Linked DNA regions of Macaca fascicularis. The protein of the gene in region 3 interacts with the protein of the main gene of each other region in a biochemical or structural test. Links are inferred from orthologs where the notes say so. Each region holds a gene or a part of one and is shown on either strand. Other genes may lie near its edges.

Region 1 (6,850 bases), on a different chromosome or scaffold from region 3:
TGAAAGAAAGGACTTGCTAAAACTTTGAAACAAAAACAGCTAGTACTGCTTGGTTTCAGGATGAGTATGGAAAAATAGAATCCTTTATGTATGGTAAGGGGGGAATCCCCAAATACTGCTTGTTCACAGGCTTAAATGAGTAAGGAAGTCATATTTCCAGTGAAATGTTCATGCTTACATTTTCCACATCAAGAGCTGGAAAAAGCCCAGAGAAAAACAAAAATAACAATAGAGGGTAGAAGACAAGAACTTAAATTGCAATTTTGTGGACAAAGGATTATATTAAAAATTCTGAGAAAATTAAAGAAAGGTTGGACCTGAGGAAAAAAGTCTACTGTGGTCATAATTTTCCATCTCCAAGTCTAAAGAAAACAGAACAAGGTCAAATAGTAAAAGAAAAATTGCATTTAGATAAGTCATAAAATTTCCTGAAAGAAAAGAAAATCAATAAAACAATAGATAGTCTAGGCTAGTAAGAGGTTGTGAAATGATTGGAACTCAGTGATTCTCAGAATGAGATAGATTCTTCAAGGCAGCTACTGTCCATTCACCTATCATCACATGACCTTTTTTTTTTCCCCCACAGCCCTCTCTCACTACTCTTTCCTGTCTTCAAAATAGTTTGGTGGTCTACAAGTTCTAAAAGCTGGTATTTCTAACATAAAATTTGCTAATCTTTCAGTTTTTATTAATTAGAAGCTAATAGGATTCTATCTCTGGATTTACAGTTTTAAAAAGTTTTATTTTGGCATACTGGGATATCTGTAACTTATTTGGCATAATATATGGCCTAATCAGAAATTCTGCTATCAAGTTCTTCACTATATTTTTTAAAAATTATGTACAATTGTAAATTTGAAGTACAGTTTTTGAAGAGTCAGACTTAAAACAAAGGTAAGAATACATATATTAAGTCTTGATCCCTTAGCTCAGGGAAAGCAGAACAGACCATAGGCAAGGACTGTCAGTGGCCGACAACTAATACTTGAGTAATCATTATGTATCAGGTACTTTACATGTGATATCTTTTTTTAATGTCTTATAATTTTAGTTTAAAAAAATTTTAATAGACAATAACTGCACATATTTATGGGGGTACACAGTGATGTTGCAATACATATAACGTATAGTGATTAGATCAGGGTAATTAGCATATCTATCATCTCAGAAACATTATGTCTTTGTTTTGGGAACATGCAATATCCTTCCAGCTATTTGAAACTATATAGTATTGTTAACTACAGTCATCCTACAGTGCTACAGAACACTAGAGCTTACACCTCCTATCTAGTTGTAATTTTGTATTTTACAACTTCGAAGTAGGTGTAATTATCCCTATTTAGACTATACTTGTATGAAACAGAAATTATTTTCATTTTACAGATGAGGAAACTGAGACGCAGAGAAGTAATCTGTCCAAAGTCCACTGGGTTATAAGATTCATAACAAGAACTACAACTTGGGTCTATCTGAATCTTAAACTTCTGGCACTATACTTGCTCACAGGTTTGAAAAGAAGAGCTTTAATTTCTACTATTTCTCAAGAATTTGTAATGCTTTCTCTTGTCACTGTGCTTTCAACTTACAGGGGTTGCAGTTTTGATAAAAGACAAACTGATTTAGCTTCTAGCTTTGTTAGATCTGTAATTCAGAAGCAACTCCAGGCTTCCATTTCTACTAATGCTTTCTAAATCTAATTATGTTATAAATAGTCCTGTTGCTTTAATTCACTTTTTACCCTAACATTATTAATCAAGTTTAACTTTGAAATCTCCATATTTTATGTGAGACCTCCCAAGGCTATCCAATCTTATTTTCCTTTGTAAATTTATTGTTGCTCAGCCTATTTCATTAAGGACAGCTTTAATTTTAATACTTTATAATTATTTTCAAAGTGCATGATAATGGTTTATCAGTCTGGTTAGTACATCAGAGATTTCTATTGGCGCTATCAGAGATGTTAACATCCAACAGTTTCACCAAAGTGTAACTGTTATAGATGTCTTGTTTAACATATAACTTCTTTGTTTATTGGAATTAAGCAATTACCAGACATGAATTTATGCAACAAAAATGTTTAATGTGAACAGTGACATGCATATTTGATAGCTCACTGCAGTCTGCATCATTGTCTCTAGATTCCAAAATTTCATTTTAAGCCGTTTAGTACTTACAGAACAAAGGGGGTTATCTTAGATAACTTTTAATATCCTGGGCTATTTTCCAATTCACGATACAGGGGGAAAAAAATGTGTCCAGGGCCCTTAAAAGAAAATACTTTGAATTTAAATATGACACATACATTAAGCCCACGTGACACGCCAGGGAGGCGGTGGAAGTCAAGTGCATTTGTTTTTGTTACATCCATCAGGGCGATCTCTTTCACAATTCTGGGAGAGGCCTGTTTGTTCCTCCACTCCCACAGTTAAAGTTTGGACAAAGTTTGAGAAAATCCCAGGCACCTGCGGCTCCTAGTGAAGCCCGCGAGGAGCATAGGGGAAAGCACCTCTTCCCCAGTTTTCAGTCTTCAGATCGCAGGCCTCTCGAACCCGCAGAGCGAGCGTCACGCTGCCGCGCCTGAGAAATGAGCGCTATTTCAAGGACAGGCCCTGGGTCCTCACTGACGCTTCGCAAAGGTGTGCGTCCGCCCAAGGAAGGCCGGCGGCGCAGCGACGGCGAGGAGTCTCCCTACCCATCTTCTCTTCAAGCAGCAGTAGCTGGTTCTGGGTACCCAACCGACGAGCCGAGACGCCAGAAGCCAGAGGACGAAGTTGAAAGCCTGCGCCCCGAGCCGACCGGAATTCCACTTAGCTCCGCGCGGTCCGCGCCTCGGCCGGAAGGGGGCGTGGCTTCGGGCCGGCGCGGCGAGGCCCGCCGCCGAGTGGGGGGGGGTTCCTCCCGGGCCCCGGCCGCGCGTTTCCGGTGCGCTCCCCCGCGCCCTCCGTCCTGTGGTCTCGCCCGTCCCCGCTGCCATGTTGGATTGTGCGGCCGCCGCCGCCGCCGCCGCTGCGGGAGGGTTGGGGGAGGAGTTGGGAGTTTAGCGCAGTCGCTGGAGTGCGAGGACAACGACCATCCGGCCCTATCCTGGCCGGGCGGGAGCTGGGAGCTTCCCTTTCTCAGCGCGGCCCGAAGGTGGTTCGCCGTCGGCGCCTGCGTCCCTCGACCTCCTCCTCCTCCGCGCTCCGGAGGAGCTGCGAGATGTGGCGCCTCTGACTCCGCTTCTCCCCGCCCCTGTCACCGAGAGGGGTAACGAGCTCTCGCCCACTCGCGGGAGGAGACGGCCCTGGACTCCCAACCCTGCCGGCGAAACCATGAGCTCCGTCCAGCAGCAGCCGCCGCCGCCGCGGAGGGTCACCAACGTGGGGTCCCTGCTGCTCACCCCGCAGGAGAACGAGTCCCTCTTCACTTTCCTCGGCAAGAAATGTGTGGTCAGTGGATAAGAACCGCGTCGCCACCCCTGACATTACCTCACGGGCCCGGACTTGGGGTCCGGGAAGTGGGAGTGGGGAAGGAGGCGGGAGCGGCGCGGGGAGGGTCCCGCTTGTCGGCCAGGCCTCCCGCCAGCCCCGGCCCCTCGTCGGCGCCCTCGCCCTGCTCCCTGGGTGCGGGCTGTGGCGGTCGGGCGCCGCCTCCCCGAGCTTTGGGGAACAAGGGAGTGTCACCTCCGCAGGCCTGTCCTCCAGCCTGGCCGGGCCTCGGTCCGCGCCCTGGCTGCTGGTTAAAACTTTACTCTCAGGCCGCAAGGGGATTTTCTTGTAAGAGTCGCTTGGTCCCAGAATCTGGGCCCTTGCTCTAGCTCTCGCGTCACCTCCTCCTGCTGGATCTGGGGGTACCTTCCTTAACAATGCCAGGTTTGAGGAGTGGATAGGTCGGGGAAGGAAGGTGGTTTTCACTCTCCCATTAGGATTCCAGGAGGGAATGAAGTCGAGTGCAAGAGCCTGGGCTCTCTTCAGATTAGAGAGGATAAAAAAAAATGTTACTGCTCTTCGTTAAAGAGAAACAAGATTGATTTCTCCAGCAACCTTGTCTAGGCCTGGTTTCTACTTTCCTTCCCACTGATTTTTTCCCCCATTGGTGGGAGGGGGTGCTGCTCTCCCCGCAGCCATGCGCAGGGAAACCTCAATCTCTGGTAGTTCTTGGTTTTTGGGGCCGAGAATGATTCTTAGTTTGGTGCTGTGCGGCCAATTCCAACCCCAGATGGCCGGTTGGGAGCGAGCAGTTCTGCTGTGGGAAGGGGAATGTGTGTTGTTGACGGAAGCATTCGTTACATTGGCTGCTGGCACTTCTGGGGGTGGGGAGGTTCTGCTCTGTGGTATAGGCCTTGTCGGAATCATGCTGCGGTGCTGGGTTGAAGTGTGGTTTGTTGAAATCCTGGCTGGGTCTCTTTCTCTCCACTTTGTTTGCTAGCACCTGCAGAGTATGTGCCACTGGAATCCAGAAAACACGGAAATTTCAACAGAGCAATACCATTTTATAACTCCTTTAATGTTAGGTATGCCAAACCAGATTTCACCTGCTTCTTTACGAAGTTAGGGTTAGACAATTTCTGGAAAGTTCTTGGATTAATTGTTAACGTCGTAGGAGTCCACCCTTTGTATCTTGTGCCATCCGGTTGGAGATTGAATCGTTCCATTCAATTTCAGATGTGTTTCAAATTTCGGAACTTAGACCTTAGAGAACATTGAGTTTCGTGATTAGAAGGATGAAACGAGAGGAGTGGCTCAAAACGAGAATTTTGGGTAACAACTTTAAGCCCCTCCCCATTCACACACTTTTTTCAACAAATGAGAAAACTGATCCAGTGAGCCCAAGTCATACAACAGTTTAACGATGTAACCAGAACCAGAAAACCGGGACTCCTCATGCCTCGTCCTATCCCTTGGTACTTTCCACTACATCATGTTGTTTTAGAAGGGTGTTTTTTTTTTTTCTTGTTACCGATTTATTTCCAAAAGTGGTGTTAAAGGAATAACCACTTTGCCTTTTTCACCAAAAACTAATTAAAATACAAGATTCTTAAAGCACCACTAATGTTTGCATATGTTCAGTTTAGGAAAATCTCCAGCACTTTGAATGTTAGTTACCTCCAATGAAAAAAAAATTCAGTTGTTGGTTTAGTAGATTAGCTGTGTAACCTGTATCAAAAAGGAAGTAGTCATACTGTGTTCTACATACCACACACATTAACTTTACGCAGAAAGAACATTACATTTATACACAAGTATAGTAATTGTCCTGTGCTTACCTATAGTTTTACTGGTTTCAAAAAATGGCAGATGGGGAAAAATACTGTGATAGGGAAAAATGATGTTGCACGTTGGTTAGTGTAAGTGGATTGCTGAATAGGCTGTCAGTATTCAGTGCTTAATTTCTTTACGCCATCTTTTATTAATTAACTTTACCTTTTGCATTTCTGTCATTTAAAAACCACACTGTGTCAGTTGCCTGCTTCTGTGGGATAAGTCGTTGCATACACTAATTTCAAAAATTGAAGTCCCTAGTTAATAGAGAGTTAAGAGTGATATTTTAATTTTTGAAATAATCTTTTTCTCCCTTTGCTGATTATGCAGGGTTTTTTTTGTCTTTTAAAACATTACCGAAATACATTGTCTCATAATAAATCCAGCAGTAAGATTTACAGGTCAGACCAAATGTGTTAGGCAGAAGAGTACTCAGAGCTCTATTTAAGAATTCAAGAAATGAAACAGAAGCAGTTACAGTCTTAGCTCTGAAGGAGCTTCATATCTTCTTTCATTCAACAAACATGCATTGATTAAATGTTGAGGTCAAAATCTAGAAGGGCTGAAACTTGTCCTCAGGGAGCTTACTAGGTCTAAAAAGGGAAACGTGTAAACTGATAAATAAGTCAGTGCTTCAGAGTGATGTGTAAGAGGCTACTTTTCACAATAGAAAATGTCTTGGCTTTGTAATAGCAAATATGGGTTCAAACTGGGGGTCACTTTGGGTAAGTTTCTTAAGCTTCCTATCCTAGATTTGGTTTTCTCATGTGTAAAACAAAGATACTATCTCATGGGTAGTTGTGTGGATTAAGACTGTGTGTAAATATATGGAAACTATTTTTATACAGGTTTAGGGGATTAAAGGAGAGAATGGGGGGAGAGAGGTTGAGTAAAAGCTTGTTAAAATGGATAACTGAATATTTATATCTAAACAGGTGCTCCCTAGGCTGATGAGAGGTATGAAACAACTTGAAAAGTTAGGAGACCTACTAATAAGTTTATTAGATTTCTTAGGGAGCAAGGAGGGCTTCTGCTTGGGCTCTCAGATTTAGGTATGCATTGGAATCATTGTGGAGATTATGAGAAATGCATATGCCTAGACCCAATTCCTAGATAATATTCAGAATCACTGGATATGAGGTGAAGCTTGGACATGTCTATTTTTAACAAACTTAACAGAAGATTTTAAAGTATATCACAGTTTGAAAACCACTGCTGAAGACCACGTCTGATAGGATAATCCTTGAGCACATTGGAAATCTTAATAGATTTTTCTTCAGTTTTTGGTCTATATTTTGCAAATTGAAGCTCAATTAAGTTAAATCAAATTCTTTTAGTACAGCATTTCTCTGACCGCTTAAGATATCAGTGTACATTTCACAACTAAGAAGGAGATACAGTTGAGGAAGTATTGCACTCTTTAAGGGGGACTCACAAGATCATATTTGACTTAGAAAATTTTCAGGGGAAAGGTGGAGGCAGTATAGAACGTGGATTGAGGATTGTGAGGGAAAGACAAGGGAAATCAGATAGTTGTTTTATAGTAGTGCAGGTGAAATATGATGAGGGCCTAAATTAAGAGAGTACTTTGGGAATTCAAGAACAATTAA
Region 2 (6,909 bases), on a different chromosome or scaffold from region 3:
TTGCAGGGTGGGGGCGTCAACAAAGCAAAGGCTTGGAGGGGAAAAAACAAAAGCCCCAGCCAGGCAGGTGGAGTCCCCTTGGCTGAGTTCAACCGAGGGTTCTCTGGGGAATGCGTGCATACCCAAGTGACAGCTCCGAAAACTCCCTTCCAGGGCAAAGTTCCCAAGCGCAGAAGAGAACCTATTCACTTCTCCCCTGCTCAGCCCGCCCCCTGGCCAGCCAGTTCTACTTCCTCTTTTCCTGCTCCGCTGCTTGCTTTCTCTCTTCAGCTCCTCCCTGCCCCTCACCCCAGGCTGCTTGGCCACCTCCAACCTGCCATCTGAGGACATCCAGGCAGTCACTCATTCAACAGCGAGGAGCCCTGGGGTGGGTGTGGTGGGAAGGAGTGGGGGTGATGGAGACCCTGGGAGGGCTCGCAGCCTGGTGGGTGAGGCCCAGTTCTAAATGCCAGCTGCAAGCCTTGGTCTGAGGTAGGGAGGAAGGCATGGTTGCAGAGGCTAAAAGGTTTCCCTAAAGACGGACTTTCTGGGATGGGACTTGAAGGGTGCATAGGAGAGCACCAAGAAGTGGCCGCTGCAGACAGAGGGAACCACAAGCCAGGAGGACAGGCCAGGAAGGCTGCAGCCTGGGGTGGGGTGGGGCTGGAGCTTCTGTCTCTTGGCCAGCTGAGTAGAGGCCCAGTGGCAGCACAGGTCCTGCCTGGGGATCAGGTCTGCTCTGCACCCTACCTTGTTGCCTGGAGCCGCCCACCCAACAGCCTCCCATCCTTGCTCTGCAGATCCGGTCCCATCCCCACCTCCCACAGCACTCCACCCAGTTCAACCTTTGAGGAACCCCCAGAACCAGCCCTCATCAACAGGCAGCAAAAAGGTCCCCCCCGCCCATCGCCCCACAACGCCGGCCCGGTGAACTGTAGGGTTGGCAGGTCCTTAGGCAGGTGGCAAGACGCCTGCAGCTGAAAGATACAAGGCCAGGCACAGGACAGTCCCATCCCCAGGAGGCAGGGAGTATACAGGCTGGGAAAGTTTGCCCTTGCGTGGGGTGGTGATGGAGGAGGCCTAGCAAGCCTTCTGGACTGTGAACCTGTGTCTGCCACTGTGTGCTGGGTGGTGGTCATCTTTCCCACCAGGCTGTGGCCTCTGCAACCTTCGAGGGAGGAGTGGGTCCCACTGACTGAGCACAGCCTTGTACCGTGAACTGGAACAAGGCCACAGGTTCCACGTCCTTATATGGACTCATCTTTGCCTGTTGCAACACACACTCAACGAACACCTACTACGTGCTGCAAAGCCCCCTGAAGGCCTGACATGCCCCCACCTCACCACCCTTCCTATTTTTGTGTAAAAATCCAGCTTCTTGTCACCACCTCCAAGGAGGGGGAGGAGAAGGGCATGTTCCTCTAGGTTGAGCTGAATGCCCCTCTGTGGTCCCACGCCACTGATCACTGCATGTCCACCAGCTGGGTACATACAGTCTCTGATTCCCAGAGCAGAACGACCCTAGCCACCCGGGTCTTGTGTGCTACTGAGTGGACAGACCCGAGGCAAGAAAGGGTGACAAGGAGAGGGTCTTCCCAGGCTGGCTTTGAGCTCCTACCCCACCCCGCCCCCAATCCTCTCTGGCACATGGTGTCTTGGTCCCCAGAGTCCCCCCGCGGCCTCCAGATGGTCTGGGAGGGCAGTTCAGCTGTGGCTGCGCATAGCAGACATGCAATGAACGGTGGGCGCAGACCCAGGCTGTGTAGACCCAGCCCCCACACCCCGCAGTGCCTGGAGCTGCCTGGGTCACCCACTAACGCCCCAGGCCTGGTCTTGGCTGGGCGTGACCGCGTTACCCTCAGAAGCAGCAGCTCCTGGGGAAACTTTCCCTGCCCCGTAGAGCCCACCTTCCCAGGGCCGTGGCTGGGTGGGTTTGCAGCTTTCATCACAGGCCACCTCAAGCCACTGGACCGCTGGCGCCTGCCCTGTCCTGGGCAGTGTGGTCCTGCGACTTCTAAGTGGCCGCGAGCCCCCTGACTCCCCCAACACCACACTCTACCTCTCAAGCCCAAGTCTCTCCCTAGTGACCCACCCAGCCCATTTAGCTAGCTGAGCCCCATAATAGCCAGAGGTCCCGAGACCTGCTTTCAGGGCAGTTGCTCTGAAGTCGGCAAGGGGGAGTGACTGCCTGGCCACTCCATGCCCTTCAAGGGCTCCTTCTGCAGGAGCGCACAGCACCCAGGACCCTGGCACCCGTGCAGACCCTGGCCCACCCCACCTGGGCGCTCAGTGCCCAAGAGACGTCCACACCTAGAATGTCCCGCGGTGGGTGGGGGGCCCGAGAGACGGGCAGGCCGGGGACAGGCCTGGCCATGCGGGGCCGAACCGGGCACTGCCCAGCGTGGGGTGCGGGGGCCACCGCGCGCGCCCCCAACCCCCGGGCCCAGCACCCCAAGGCGGCCAACGCCAAAACTCTCCCTCCTCCTCTTCCTCAATCTCGCTCTCGCTCTTTTTTTTTTTTCGCAAAAGGAGGGGAGAGGGGGTAAAAAAATGCTGCACTGTGCGGCGAGGCCGGTGAGTGAGCGGCGCGGGGCCAATCAGCGCGCGCCGTTCCGAAAGTTGCCTTTTATGGCTCGAGCGGCCGCGGCGGCGCCCTATAAAACCCGGCGGCGCGACGCGCCTCCACCGCCGAGACCGCGTCCGCCCCGCGAGCACAGAGCCTCGCCTTTGCCGCTCCGCCGCCCGTTCACACCCGCCGCCAGGTAAGCCCGGCCAGCCGACCCTGGTAGGCGGCTCCCGGCTCGGCTGCCTAAGGCCGCGGCCCCTTCGCCTGTGTAGAGCCGCCTGCGCCGCAGCGGGGGTCGCATGTGGGGACTGGACTGCAGTGGGGGACGCGGGAGAAGCCCCTGGGCCTCCAGAGATGTGGGGACACCCCGCTCCAGTTTGGAGGCGCGGGCCCTGCTCGGGAGGCGCGCTCTGGGGGTGCTGCTCTCGGGATGGGGGCAGCCGGCGGGGTCTTTGTCCGAGCCGGCTTCTTGCCAGTGGGAACTGCAGGGTGGGCGCGGCGGAGCCCCCCCGCCAGGCTCGGTGGGGGGCTGGGGCGCCATTGCGCGTGCGTCCTGGGGCTTGGGGCGCTAACTCTGCGTGCGCGCTGGGAATCGGCGCTAGTTGCGCGTGCGCGCTGGGACTCAAGGCGCTAACTGCGCGTGCGTTCTGGGGCCCGGGTGCCGCGGCCTGGGCTGGGGCAAGGGCTGGCCCCGCCGGAAGGGGTGGGGTCGCGGAGGCTCCAGGGCGCTTGCGCGCACTTCCTGCCCGCGCCGCCGGCCGCCTGAGGGTGTGGCCGCCGCGCGCGCGCGCGCGCCGACCCGGCGCTATTTGAACGGAGCGGAGGCGGGGCCGGCTCCCGGTTGGGAGGGGGTGGGGGCCTGGCTTCCTGCCGCGCGCGGTGGGGACGCCTCCGACCAGTGTTTGCCTTTTATGGTAATAACGCGGCCGGCCCGGCTTCCTTTGTCCCCAATCTGGGCGCGCGCCTGCGCCCCCTGGCGGCCTAAGGCCTCGGCGCGCCGGAAGTGGGCAGGGCGGGGGCCACCTCGGCTCACAGCGCGCCCGGCTTTCCCGCAGCTCGCCATGGATGATGATATCGCCGCGCTCGTTGTCGACAATGGCTCCGGCATGTGCAAGGCCGGCTTCGCGGGCGACGATGCCCCCCGGGCCGTCTTCCCCTCCATCGTGGGGCGCCCCAGGCACCAGGTAGGGGAGCTGGGTGGGTGGGGCGGCCCCGGGAGCGGGCGGGAGGCGAGGGCGCTTTCTCTGCACTGGGGTCTCCCGGTTTCTGGGGTGGGGGCCGCGCCCGTGCTTAGGGCGCCTTGTTTTTTCTTTCCTAGGGCGTGATGGTGGGCATGGGTCAGAAGGATTCATATGTGGGCGACGAGGCCCAGAGCAAGAGAGGCATTCTCACCCTGAAGTACCCCATCGAGCACGGCATCGTCACCAACTGGGACGACATGGAGAAGATCTGGCACCACACCTTCTACAATGAGCTGCGTGTGGCTCCTGAGGAGCACCCCGTGCTGCTGACCGAGGCCCCCCTGAACCCCAAGGCCAACCGCGAGAAGATGACCCAGGTAAGTGGCCCGCTACCTCTTGTGGTGGCCACCGCCCTCTTTCCTGGTCTCCCGGAGCTGCGCCCTTTCTCACTGGTTCTCTCTTCTGCCGTTCTCCGTAGGACTCTCTTCTCTGACCTGAGTCTCCTTTGGAACTCTGCAGGTTCTATTTGCTTTTTCCCAGATGAGCTCTTTTTCTGGTGTTTGCCTCTCTGACTAGGTGTCTAAAACAGACAGTGCTGTGGGTGTAGGTACTAACACTGGCTCGTGTGACAAGCCCATGAGGCTGGTGTAAAGCGGCCTTGGAGTGTGTATTCAGTAGGTGCACAGTAGGTCTGAACAGAATCCCCATCCCAAGACCCCAGCACACTTAGCAGTGTTCTTTGCACTTCCTGCATGTCCCCCATCTGGCCTGGCTGTCCCAGTAGCTTCCTGAGTATGACATGGTGCATTTCTTCCTTACAGATCATGTTTGAGACCTTCAACACCCCAGCCATGTACGTGGCCATCCAGGCTGTGCTGTCCCTGTACGCCTCTGGCCGTACCACTGGCATCGTGATGGACTCCGGTGACGGGGTCACCCACACTGTGCCCATCTACGAGGGGTATGCCCTCCCCCATGCCATCCTGCGTCTGGACCTGGCTGGCCGGGACCTGACTGACTACCTCATGAAGATCCTCACTGAGCGCGGCTACAGCTTCACCACCACGGCCGAGCGGGAAATCGTGCGTGACATTAAGGAGAAGCTGTGCTATGTCGCCCTAGACTTCGAGCAGGAGATGGCCACAGCGGCTTCCAGCTCCTCCCTGGAGAAGAGCTACGAGCTGCCCGATGGCCAGGTCATCACCATTGGCAACGAGCGGTTCCGCTGCCCTGAGGCTCTCTTCCAACCTTCCTTCCTGGGTGAGTGGAGACCCGCCTCCCGGCCCTGCCTGACCTGAGGGTCACCCTTGGGGCTGTGCTTTGGAAGCTAAGTCCGCCCTCATTTCTTCCTCAGGCATGGAGTCCTGTGGCATCCACGAAACTACCTTCAACTCCATCATGAAGTGTGACGTGGACATCCGTAAAGACCTGTACGCCAACACAGTGCTGTCTGGTGGCACCACCATGTACCCTGGCATTGCTGACAGGATGCAGAAGGAGATTACTGCCCTGGCGCCCAGCACGATGAAGATCAAGGTGGGTGTCCTTCCACCCTGAGCTGACCTGGGCAGGTGGGCCGTGGGGCCCTGTGGTGTGTGGGGAGCTGTCACATCCGGGGTTCTCACTGCCTGTTTGTTCCCTTCCTTCCTCAGATCATTGCTCCTCCTGAGCGCAAGTACTCTGTGTGGATCGGCGGCTCCATCCTGGCCTCGCTGTCCACCTTCCAGCAGATGTGGATCAGCAAGCAGGAGTATGACGAGTCTGGCCCTTCCATCGTCCACCGCAAATGCTTCTAGGCGGACTGTGACTTAGTTGCGTTACACCCTTTCTTGACAAAACCTAACTTGCGCAGAAAACAAGATGAGATTGGCATGGCTTTATTTGTTTTTTTTGTTTTGTTTTGGTTTTTTTTTTTGGCTTGACTCAGGATTTAAAAACTGGAACGGTGAAGGTGACAGCAGTCGGTTGGAGCGAGCATCCCCCAAAGTTCTACAATGTGGCCGAGGACTTTGATTGTACATTGTTCTTTTTTTTAATAGTCATTCCAAATATGAGATGCATTGTTACAGGAAGTCCCTTGCCCTCCTAAAAGCCACCCCACTTCTCTCTAAGGAGAATGGCCCAGTCCTCTCCCGAGTCCACACAGGGGAGGTGATAGCATTGCTTTCGTGTAAATTATGTAATGCAAAATTTTTTTAATCTTCGCCTTAATACTTTTTTATTTTGTTTTATTTTGAATAATGAGCCTTCATGCCCCCTCTTTTTGTCCCCCAACTTGAGATGTCTGAAGGCTTTTGGTCTCCCTGGGAGTGGGTGGAGGCAGCCAGGGCTTACCTGTACACTGACTTGAGACCAGTTGAATAAAAGTGCACACCTTACAAATGAGGCCAAGAGTGACTTTGTGGCGTGACTGGGTTGTGGGCAGTGGAGGGTGATCCCTGAAGGGTGGGGTGGTGGGGGCCAACTTGTCCTTACCTAGAGTGGAGGTGGGCCAAGGTCCCTTCCGCCTTGACATTGAGCAGCCTTAGAGGGTGGGGGAAGATTCAGGATTCAGGTCTCTGTTTCTGCATACTGGGGAGTTCCTGGCCTGGCCCTTCCACCCATTCCCAGGTACCCTAGTTTCTCTGGTACTCAGTGCATATGCTTGAGGTGGAAATGGTTTGAGGTGGAAAACGCTTGAGGAAAATGCTTGAGGTGGAAAACGCTGTTTTGGGGTGTCTGGTGGCCCAGGTGCCATTTCTCATTGGGGTTGGTTGGCACCTGGATTTTCTGGGAGTGGAACTCACTGAGGGTCAACTTTTAGCATGGTGTTCCCTTGAGTGGGGGTGTAGTGGGTGTTCGTAGCTGCCACACCTTTGCCTTCACCATATGGAGTGGTGGCTGTCGGTCACCTTTGAGGGTCAGCCTGGCCCAGGCTCCCATAGGCTGAGGAAAGGCTGGGATTCCTGCCTATTCACCCAGACTGGGGAACCTGGAATCACAGTCAGTTGGGGTGGGGGATCCATGGGGCCATATCTGGTCTGCAGACAGCTCTGGTTAGCTGTGGGCTGAGGTCTGGATTCTGCCTTGTGACTGGAGGCAGTGCCATCCCGTGGCCTCTCGGCCAGTTTCTTCGTGATCTACAGAGGGAGACATCCAGACTCCTGGACAGCAGGGCCTGCCTGGCACTGCAGGCAGATTCTT
Region 3 (6,846 bases):
GCTCCCCTTGTTTTTCCTGGGCCTTCAACAGATCCCCCACCCTCTCCTCCCTCTTCCCCCGTCATCCTGGTCTAATAACCCTCTACATGTACACTTCTGGTGACCTATTTGCACAGACCGTCTTCTTCCCTCCAGTCTTCTAAGTTGAGGGATAGGGGACATTCCATCCTAAGTTGCTCCCTTACCCACACCTATCCTTTTGAGGGGCATTGGGGTGGGGCTGGGGCAAGCAAAGGGACTGGGTCTTCACTTCTTGGGCTAATAAAATTGTTTTTTGTGGACTAAGGAAGGGTGAGATAATTTTTAGGTGAACTTAACCCTTTGGGGGAATCACCCCTTTAGCCATAAGGAGCAAGAGAATGCTGAGACACTAACCTATAGTCATGGGGACAGCCCCAGCAGGCATTTGCTATGACTCAGGGGGAGCCCCACCCACAAGGATGACTCAACTAGCCCTGCCTTGCCTGCAGGCCTGCACCCATTCTCTGGTCCAGATGGCTCTATTCCATTATCCACCAATTTAACCAGCACACTGAGGACTTAGGCCTGGAAATGCCACTGTGGAGGGGCAGGGCCACCTGGCCAGAAGCTCAAATTCTTGCACCTTGTAGTACCTCAACCTTCCTGCTCCCAAGCCATGATAAAGGAGGCAAGTCACAGTGCCTGTCCCCCATTCTGACACCCAAGCTCAAATCACACAGCACCTTGTTAGAATCTTTTTTATTCAGAAAAAAAAAAAAAAAACCCAAAAAACAAAAAAGTTTTCCAACCACACACAGGAGGGGTATGGGTAGGGGGAGTTGTCTGTCCATCCAGCCCTGGTCCCCAGCCCATGTGGTTTTGGCAGCAATAAGGGGTATGGGGTAATGGCCTAAAAAATAAAATGGTGTATGTGTGTATGGGGGAGGAAAGGGGTGCAAAGCTGTGGGGAGCGGTGAAGGGGAAGGGACAGACGAGGTCAGTACTGGGAGCGCCGAAGGTGGGAGGCCATTTCATAACATTTCTTGTTGATCAAACCACCGTGGACACCTTCTTTGCCCATCAGCAGGACTAGCGCTGGAGGAGGAAAGAGAAAGGAGGCTAGGACCCAGGTGTCACAATTCCACCCCCTGCCAGCTGTTCAGCAGCTGTCCAGCCCTGGGGGCTGTAACCCAACCTCATCTCTCCCAACCCCCCCCAACACACACACACAGGCAGGCTGTCAGTCACCCTGAAACAATAAGGCTTTTCAAAAGAGGAAAATCAAGCTTAAATGCTGGAGAGGAACAGACTAAAAACTTAGGGGTCAAAGGCTCATAGACTGTTGACTCGTGTTCAGGCTAGAAAGGGCTGTGGATGAGCATGCCACCTCCAGGTTCTAACAAAAGAGCTCAAACGATTAACTAGATGATGATTCAGGACCCCAAGAATCTACCTATACTCCTAGAAAACAGTTTCTAATCCGAGCTCAAGGCAGGAAGTAACTTAAGAGGTAATGCAGTTCAACAACTTCGAATTACAAGATGAGGAACTGAGACGGAAATGGAGGGACTATCCCATGTTCCATCCAGCATCCAGCAGACAAGGGGCAGAATACTGGTCTGACTGCCTTCATGCTGGGGAATCACACAAGAAAGCACCCTCAAGATTACCAGAAGGCGGTACATGAGAGATCTTGACGCTAGAGGAATGGTAAGACTCAGGAACTCACTCTTGTCAGTCTTGGTGACAGTGACATTGAAGGTGGGGGCCCCACCGGTGCTCTTGGTACGAAGATCCATGCTAAACTCCCCATCCTGCAGCAGTGAGTCCCGGATCACCGAACATTTCTGGCCCCCAAGTGTCAGCCCATTGACGTAAAAACTTGACCGGTCTTTGCCAACCAGGACACCCACCTCAGCTGGCTGGAAGAGGAACCAAGCGCCCATCAAGTTAGTCAGTGCACCAAGATTCCCACCTTGTTCTCCAAAGACCCACCCCGCGAAGTTATATACTCAGTACCCATCAATAAACTGTGAGAAACTCTGAGGACTGTGGAACGTTAGTGCAGAAAACGATCATGATTCTCAAACCTAGAATATGGGACTAGGGAGGAAGAGATGATATACTCCTCTAGAGATTTAGATCTCAGTGTTAATGGGGGAAAGTAAACCCAGGAAATAAAGGGAATCAGTGATAAAAGTGAGGAGTCTTTGGATGCTCAGAACTCTCCTTCAGGAAAAGCAGAAGCGGAGAGGGGAAGGGAGGGGGGCGGGCGAGGCAAGAGAAGCAACTTTGCCCTTATTTGGTCAAAGGTTCTGCAGGAGCTCTTAGGGCCCGGACGCCTGGGTCTCCAAGTAACCTAGTTTAGCTCCAGGTATGTCTGCCCTGACAAGAGGAAGCAGACCCCTGGGGGCTTTCCGGGAAAGTTGGAAAACTTCTGAAGGTGGACGGGGGCTAGACCCGGCAAGTCAGCTCTCGGGTCTAGGTACCCCAGGAACCTTTTCCCCCCTCCCCCTTTCACCCCAAGCCCCCACATCCGGTTCCCTCCCGCCCGGAAACCCCCTTCCCCCCCTTTCGAACTTCCGCTCCCCCTCCCCACTTCCGGGCAGTGTGGACAGGGAGATGGTGGTGGGAGCAGCGGTAGTCAACTCATATTCTTTCGCTTATGCTGTCTCAGAACTTCTCACAAAGTTCCCCTGCTCCAGGCCCCGCCGGATGGCGGGAAGGGAGGGCGAGGGGACTTCCGGGATTGGCCTCGCAGGAATGTTGAGTCCAACGTGCTGAGCTGGGGGGGCGTGTGGTGGCCTCGCCCTCTCTAACGGAGTTGGGAGGGGCCGGGAGTCCACAGAGGGTGGGCAAGGGACCAATACCACGCGCCTGGGGCTCCCTCCCGCACCAGGGGAAACAATGGTAGAGGGGCGCGAGCTGGCGGCCGGACGGGGAGCTGGGGATTCGAGGGTCCCCGGGTCACCTCTCAATCCCAATCCCCAATTAAAATTGAGGCGCGTCCCCACCCCGCCCTGGGAGAGGCGGAAGTGGGCCGCCGCACCGGGCGCCGCGCCCCTCCCCGCCCTGTGCCCCGGATGTAACGCCCCGTCGCGGAAAGCGGGGTAGCGGGCGGGATGGGCGCCGCCGCCTGGGGCATACGACTTAGGAGCAACCGAGGGACCCGCTCACGTGCAGCCGCCATTCGCGCCGCTTCCAGGACAAGCACCCAGTCAGGGCCTCTCGCTGCGCGCTCTAGACCGCGCCCGCCCCCACCCAAGTCCCTCCCACAGGGTCCAAGCCCGACCAGTGCCCCGGACCGCAGGCCTCGCAGTACCGTGATGTTGACGAAGGTTTTCCCGGGGACGGCGGCCCAGACGGAGGGCGAGTCCTTGTAACCCACGATGGCCGCGTCCTGACAGGTCCCGTCCGCCATGAGGTTGTCGATGTAGGCGTTCCACCCGGCCATGGCGCTGCTACTGGGGCTGCTCTCGGCGCTGCTGCTGGGGCCGCGGGCTGGGCACGAGCTGCCTCGGCTGGCGGGCGGGGGGAGGCGGAGAGCTCGAGACACGCGCTGCCGTCCGGACCGCGGCTCTGCTCGCTGTGCAGCAGCCCTCGCACCGCCACTTCCTGCTCCTCCCCCCCGCCCCGCTAGATTTTTATTTGCAAAGGACGGTAGGGGCGGGGCCTACTCCCCATTCCCTCCCTCCCCCACTCGCCAGCCCAGACACCGAAGTTTGCAAATGCAATTTTAAAAATCCCTCCCCCTATTGCAAAATTTGCAGAGTTCGATGGAAAGCAATGTAGAAAGATGGGGGGTGGCGGCAGAGAGGTGAAGGGTAGGGTTTGCTCCAATTTGCATTGAATATAAACCAGACTTTGCTATCGGGGCAGGGAGTGAGCCAGAAGGAAGGAAGGGAAGAGAAAGGAGGAAGAATTAGCAAGCCGCAAATTTAGCAAATTAAGGAGAGTTCGGGGAGTCCAGGGTTAAACGGGATGACTCCTCCTTCCCCCACCTCCGCCGAAGGGAAGGACCGGCGGGCGGCGGCGCGTGTGCCCGCGCCTGCGCCTGCGCCAAGGCCGGGAGGGAGAGCGCATGGGGCGGTCCGGGCCGGAGCCGGCTGCACGGGAGCGCGCCCGACCCGACCCCTGTGGACCCTCCGGGAAAGGAAGGCGGGCTGGGGACGTGTCTCCCGCCTGGCGGAAAGGGCGGGGGCGAAGCCGTGCACGCTGCCGCCTCACCACCCTTGATTTTACTTATTCAATAGGAAAGCAAAGGGAGTTTGGCCAAATACCCTAGTCGCTCTCATAGCTGAAGGCACCCACCGGGGCCACTTCGGTCCCCAGCGTCTTCCCGGGTAGTGCAGGTTAGGTTCACCAGGGCCCATTCTCAGTCCAGAGGATTGTCCCTTCTCTGGATCGGCTCTAGCCCAGGGCCTTATCCCATATCCCAGCCGCGCCCGCCCCGGGCAGGCAATGTCTGGATCACCGGCCGTGCCCCTTGGCCTGAGTCTGCAGAGGTCACTGAGCGCGGACACCCGCGGGGCTTAACAGGCGGGGCTATTTTTCGAGGCGGAAGAATACTCAAGTTGCAAGAGTGGCAACTTTTTCAAGAAGGGGAAAGTCCCACTTCGGGCCCTTTGGGTTTCTTCTCAGTCAGATGTGCGCTCGCCGCCACCTGGGGAGGGCGGGGCGGCCGGGTGGCGGCCGAGGTGAAGCCGTCTTCTCCGACCCGCCGCCGAGGGCTGGGCCGCTTCCGGAGCCTGGGTTAGGGGCGCGAGGTCACGGAGCGCGGCCCGGGCGGAAAGGGGCTTGGTTTTCTCTCTCCTCCTCCCGAGTGCGGCGCGCATCCCTGGCGTCCACGCCGAACCCCACAGTCCCCGACGCCCCTCGAGCCCGTGTTCCTCGACAGCCGCGCGGCTGAGTCACTGGCGGGCTCGGGCGGGGCCGCACCCGGGCACGTGGCGGCGCTCCCCGCCCGCCATCTCCTGACCCCTGACCCGCCGCACCCCCACCCCAGGGTGGAAAAATCCCGGGAGGAGCGGCCTGAGATGAGAGGGCGGGGCAAGATGGGAGACGGGACGGGTGGCGGGCCAGGTGGCTTGAGGTGGGGGCTGGGAGGCCGCGCTGGCCGGCGGGGCGGGGAGCAGGGGTGGGGAGAGGGAGGCGGGGGTGAGTCACCGGGCGCGGGCTGCCCCGGCGCCGGCGGGAAGGGCCTCCGAGTCGAGCCCCGTGACCCCAGCCGTTCGGCTGGCATGGCTGCAGAGGAGCTCGGGGCAGACCCCGCACTGGCCCCAGAGCTGGCAAGGTGGAGATCTCTACCGAGAGCAGAGACCCACCTCCCCGCAGTGCTACGGCGGGGCGCCGGAGGAGCCCCAGGCGTGCAGAAGCTCACAAAGGGCCACCCGTCCTCGGTCCATTCATTTTTGTTCACTGTTGATTCAACCCCATTCATTGATGGGCTGGGGCCGTGCGCTGAGCGCCCACAGTCGGTGGGGAGAAGGGCTCTGACCAATAGTCCCCATGCCGGGCGACAAGTGCTGTCCCAGCGTTATCAATCGGGCGCCGCGCCAGCCGAGAGGGCCCGTCTAAATTTGTCTCCTGGCCCCTAATTCATCCCCACCCTGGCTGGCCTGGAGAGGGTAGGATGGGGCGTCGCCGATAATGGCCGTTATGAGGACCCTAAGAGGTGAGACTCTCTCGCCTTCTGGGGTGGGGGGGTTCAATTTTAGACGTCAGAGCTTGCCCAGAAGTCCCCTCCCTTCCCCCACTGAGGGCAGAGGCCCGCCCAGCGATCTGAGCATGTGTGGATGTCAATCCTGCAGCCCCTCTTCCAGGCCCCCTCCCCAGCCTTGCAGGGCTCAGGTTACCCCTGGCCTTTCCTAAAGGTCACACATTCCTCTTGACGTTTGCAAAAGGGGAATGTAATCCTGGGGTGGGGGAGACCCCTCATCTGAAGCCCCTCCCCCGCTCCTCCCAAAGGGGAATTAAAACTGGGACTGTTACTGGGGGACGGAAAGAAAGTGGGGGATAGTAGTTGACCTTTGGTAAGGGGGCAGGTGCCCAGGGCCAGAGGCTTCTGCTTTAGGCTGTAGTGGGCACTTGGCTGCCAGCCCAGTGTGAAGGGGGGAGGATGGAGAGAGAGAGAGGCGGGGCTGGCTGGGGACCCAGTGGCTCAGGGATAAATGCGCAGCCCGAGAGGGGGTGAGCTGACACTGTCCCAGCTGCCACCTAGACTCGGAGCTCCATCCAAACCTCCAACGAAGACATCCCAGGTCAGCTAAATCTTCCAGCCCCCGGGGTGGACGTAGTAAAGGGTGCGCATGGTGTTGAGTTGGAGGAAGTGGGGGACGTTTCTGCTTTTTTTTCTCCTGGGACTGGAGGTGCTTGAAAAAGCTGGGGGAAGGGGCGGCTGGAGCAAGCAGATGGGACAAACTCTGGGAGCACCCAAGGATCTAGGGAAAGGAGGCTGTGAGGAGGGGCAGTAAGGATGGATAGAGAAGGGCAGCTAGAGTTGGAACCTGGTAGGGAACTGGGGGCCCAAGAGGATTTCGGAGCAGGAAAATGAGAACCAGAAAGGATTTGAAGGCCACCAGCCGTGGAGAACAGACTGCTTGACCAGAGGGTGGAAGGAGAAGGCCTAAGTGCAGCCTTGGGGGAGGTGGGGGCTTGGGGAGTGATGGCATCCTAGGAGCCATAGATGAGAGGCCCCTGGATTCTTAGGATGGGAGGGTGGAATAAGAGCTATTCTGAGTGGGGGAGGGGGCTGCGCCTGCCTCTTTGGTCTGTGACCTTTTTGTAGGGTATTTTTAGCTCCAGCACCTGCCTTCTTGGAGTGGGGAAGACTCTTAAAGGGCAAGGGATTTCTGGTTCCTTAAGAGATCAACTGTCTACCCTCAC

What was found.
Region 1: the proteins of PFN1 (region 3) and WASL form a complex in vitro, tested with the Homo sapiens proteins (2 studies listed by BioGRID). The link is inferred for Macaca fascicularis from reciprocal best matches to the Homo sapiens genes PFN1 and WASL.
Region 2: the proteins of PFN1 (region 3) and ACTB form a complex in vitro, tested with the Homo sapiens proteins (2 studies listed by BioGRID and IntAct, with this or other methods). The link is inferred for Macaca fascicularis from reciprocal best matches to the Homo sapiens genes PFN1 and ACTB.

What each region holds. Positions count from the first base shown.
Region 1 is NC_088377.1:165,390,292-165,397,141, reverse strand, and holds the start of WASL (actin nucleation-promoting factor WASL), read left to right. Parts: upstream 1-2,943; 5' UTR 2,944-3,311; coding exon 3,312-3,428; intron 3,429-6,850. UniProt on the Homo sapiens protein: Regulates actin polymerization by stimulating the actin-nucleating activity of the Arp2/3 complex. Involved in various processes, such as mitosis and cytokinesis, via its role in the regulation of actin polymerization.
Region 2 is NC_088377.1:45,108,092-45,115,000, reverse strand, and holds ACTB (actin, cytoplasmic 1), read left to right. Parts: upstream 1-2,663; 5' UTR 2,664-2,741; intron 2,742-3,600; 5' UTR 3,601-3,606; coding exon 3,607-3,729; intron 3,730-3,863; coding exon 3,864-4,103; intron 4,104-4,547; coding exon 4,548-4,986; intron 4,987-5,080; coding exon 5,081-5,262; intron 5,263-5,378; coding exon 5,379-5,522; 3' UTR 5,523-6,108; downstream 6,109-6,909. UniProt on the Homo sapiens protein: Actin is a highly conserved protein that polymerizes to produce filaments that form cross-linked networks in the cytoplasm of cells.
Region 3 is NC_088390.1:5,063,600-5,070,445, forward strand, and holds PFN1 (profilin-1), read right to left. Parts: upstream 3,579-6,846; 5' UTR 3,416-3,578; coding exon 3,284-3,415; intron 1,884-3,283; coding exon 1,482-1,883; 3' UTR 1,467-1,481; downstream 1-1,466. Other genes in the region: E3 ubiquitin-protein ligase RNF167, read left to right, coding at 1-75; ENO3 (beta-enolase), read left to right, coding at 5,611-5,635. UniProt on the Homo sapiens protein: Binds to actin and affects the structure of the cytoskeleton. At high concentrations, profilin prevents the polymerization of actin, whereas it enhances it at low concentrations. By binding to PIP2, it inhibits the formation of IP3 and DG.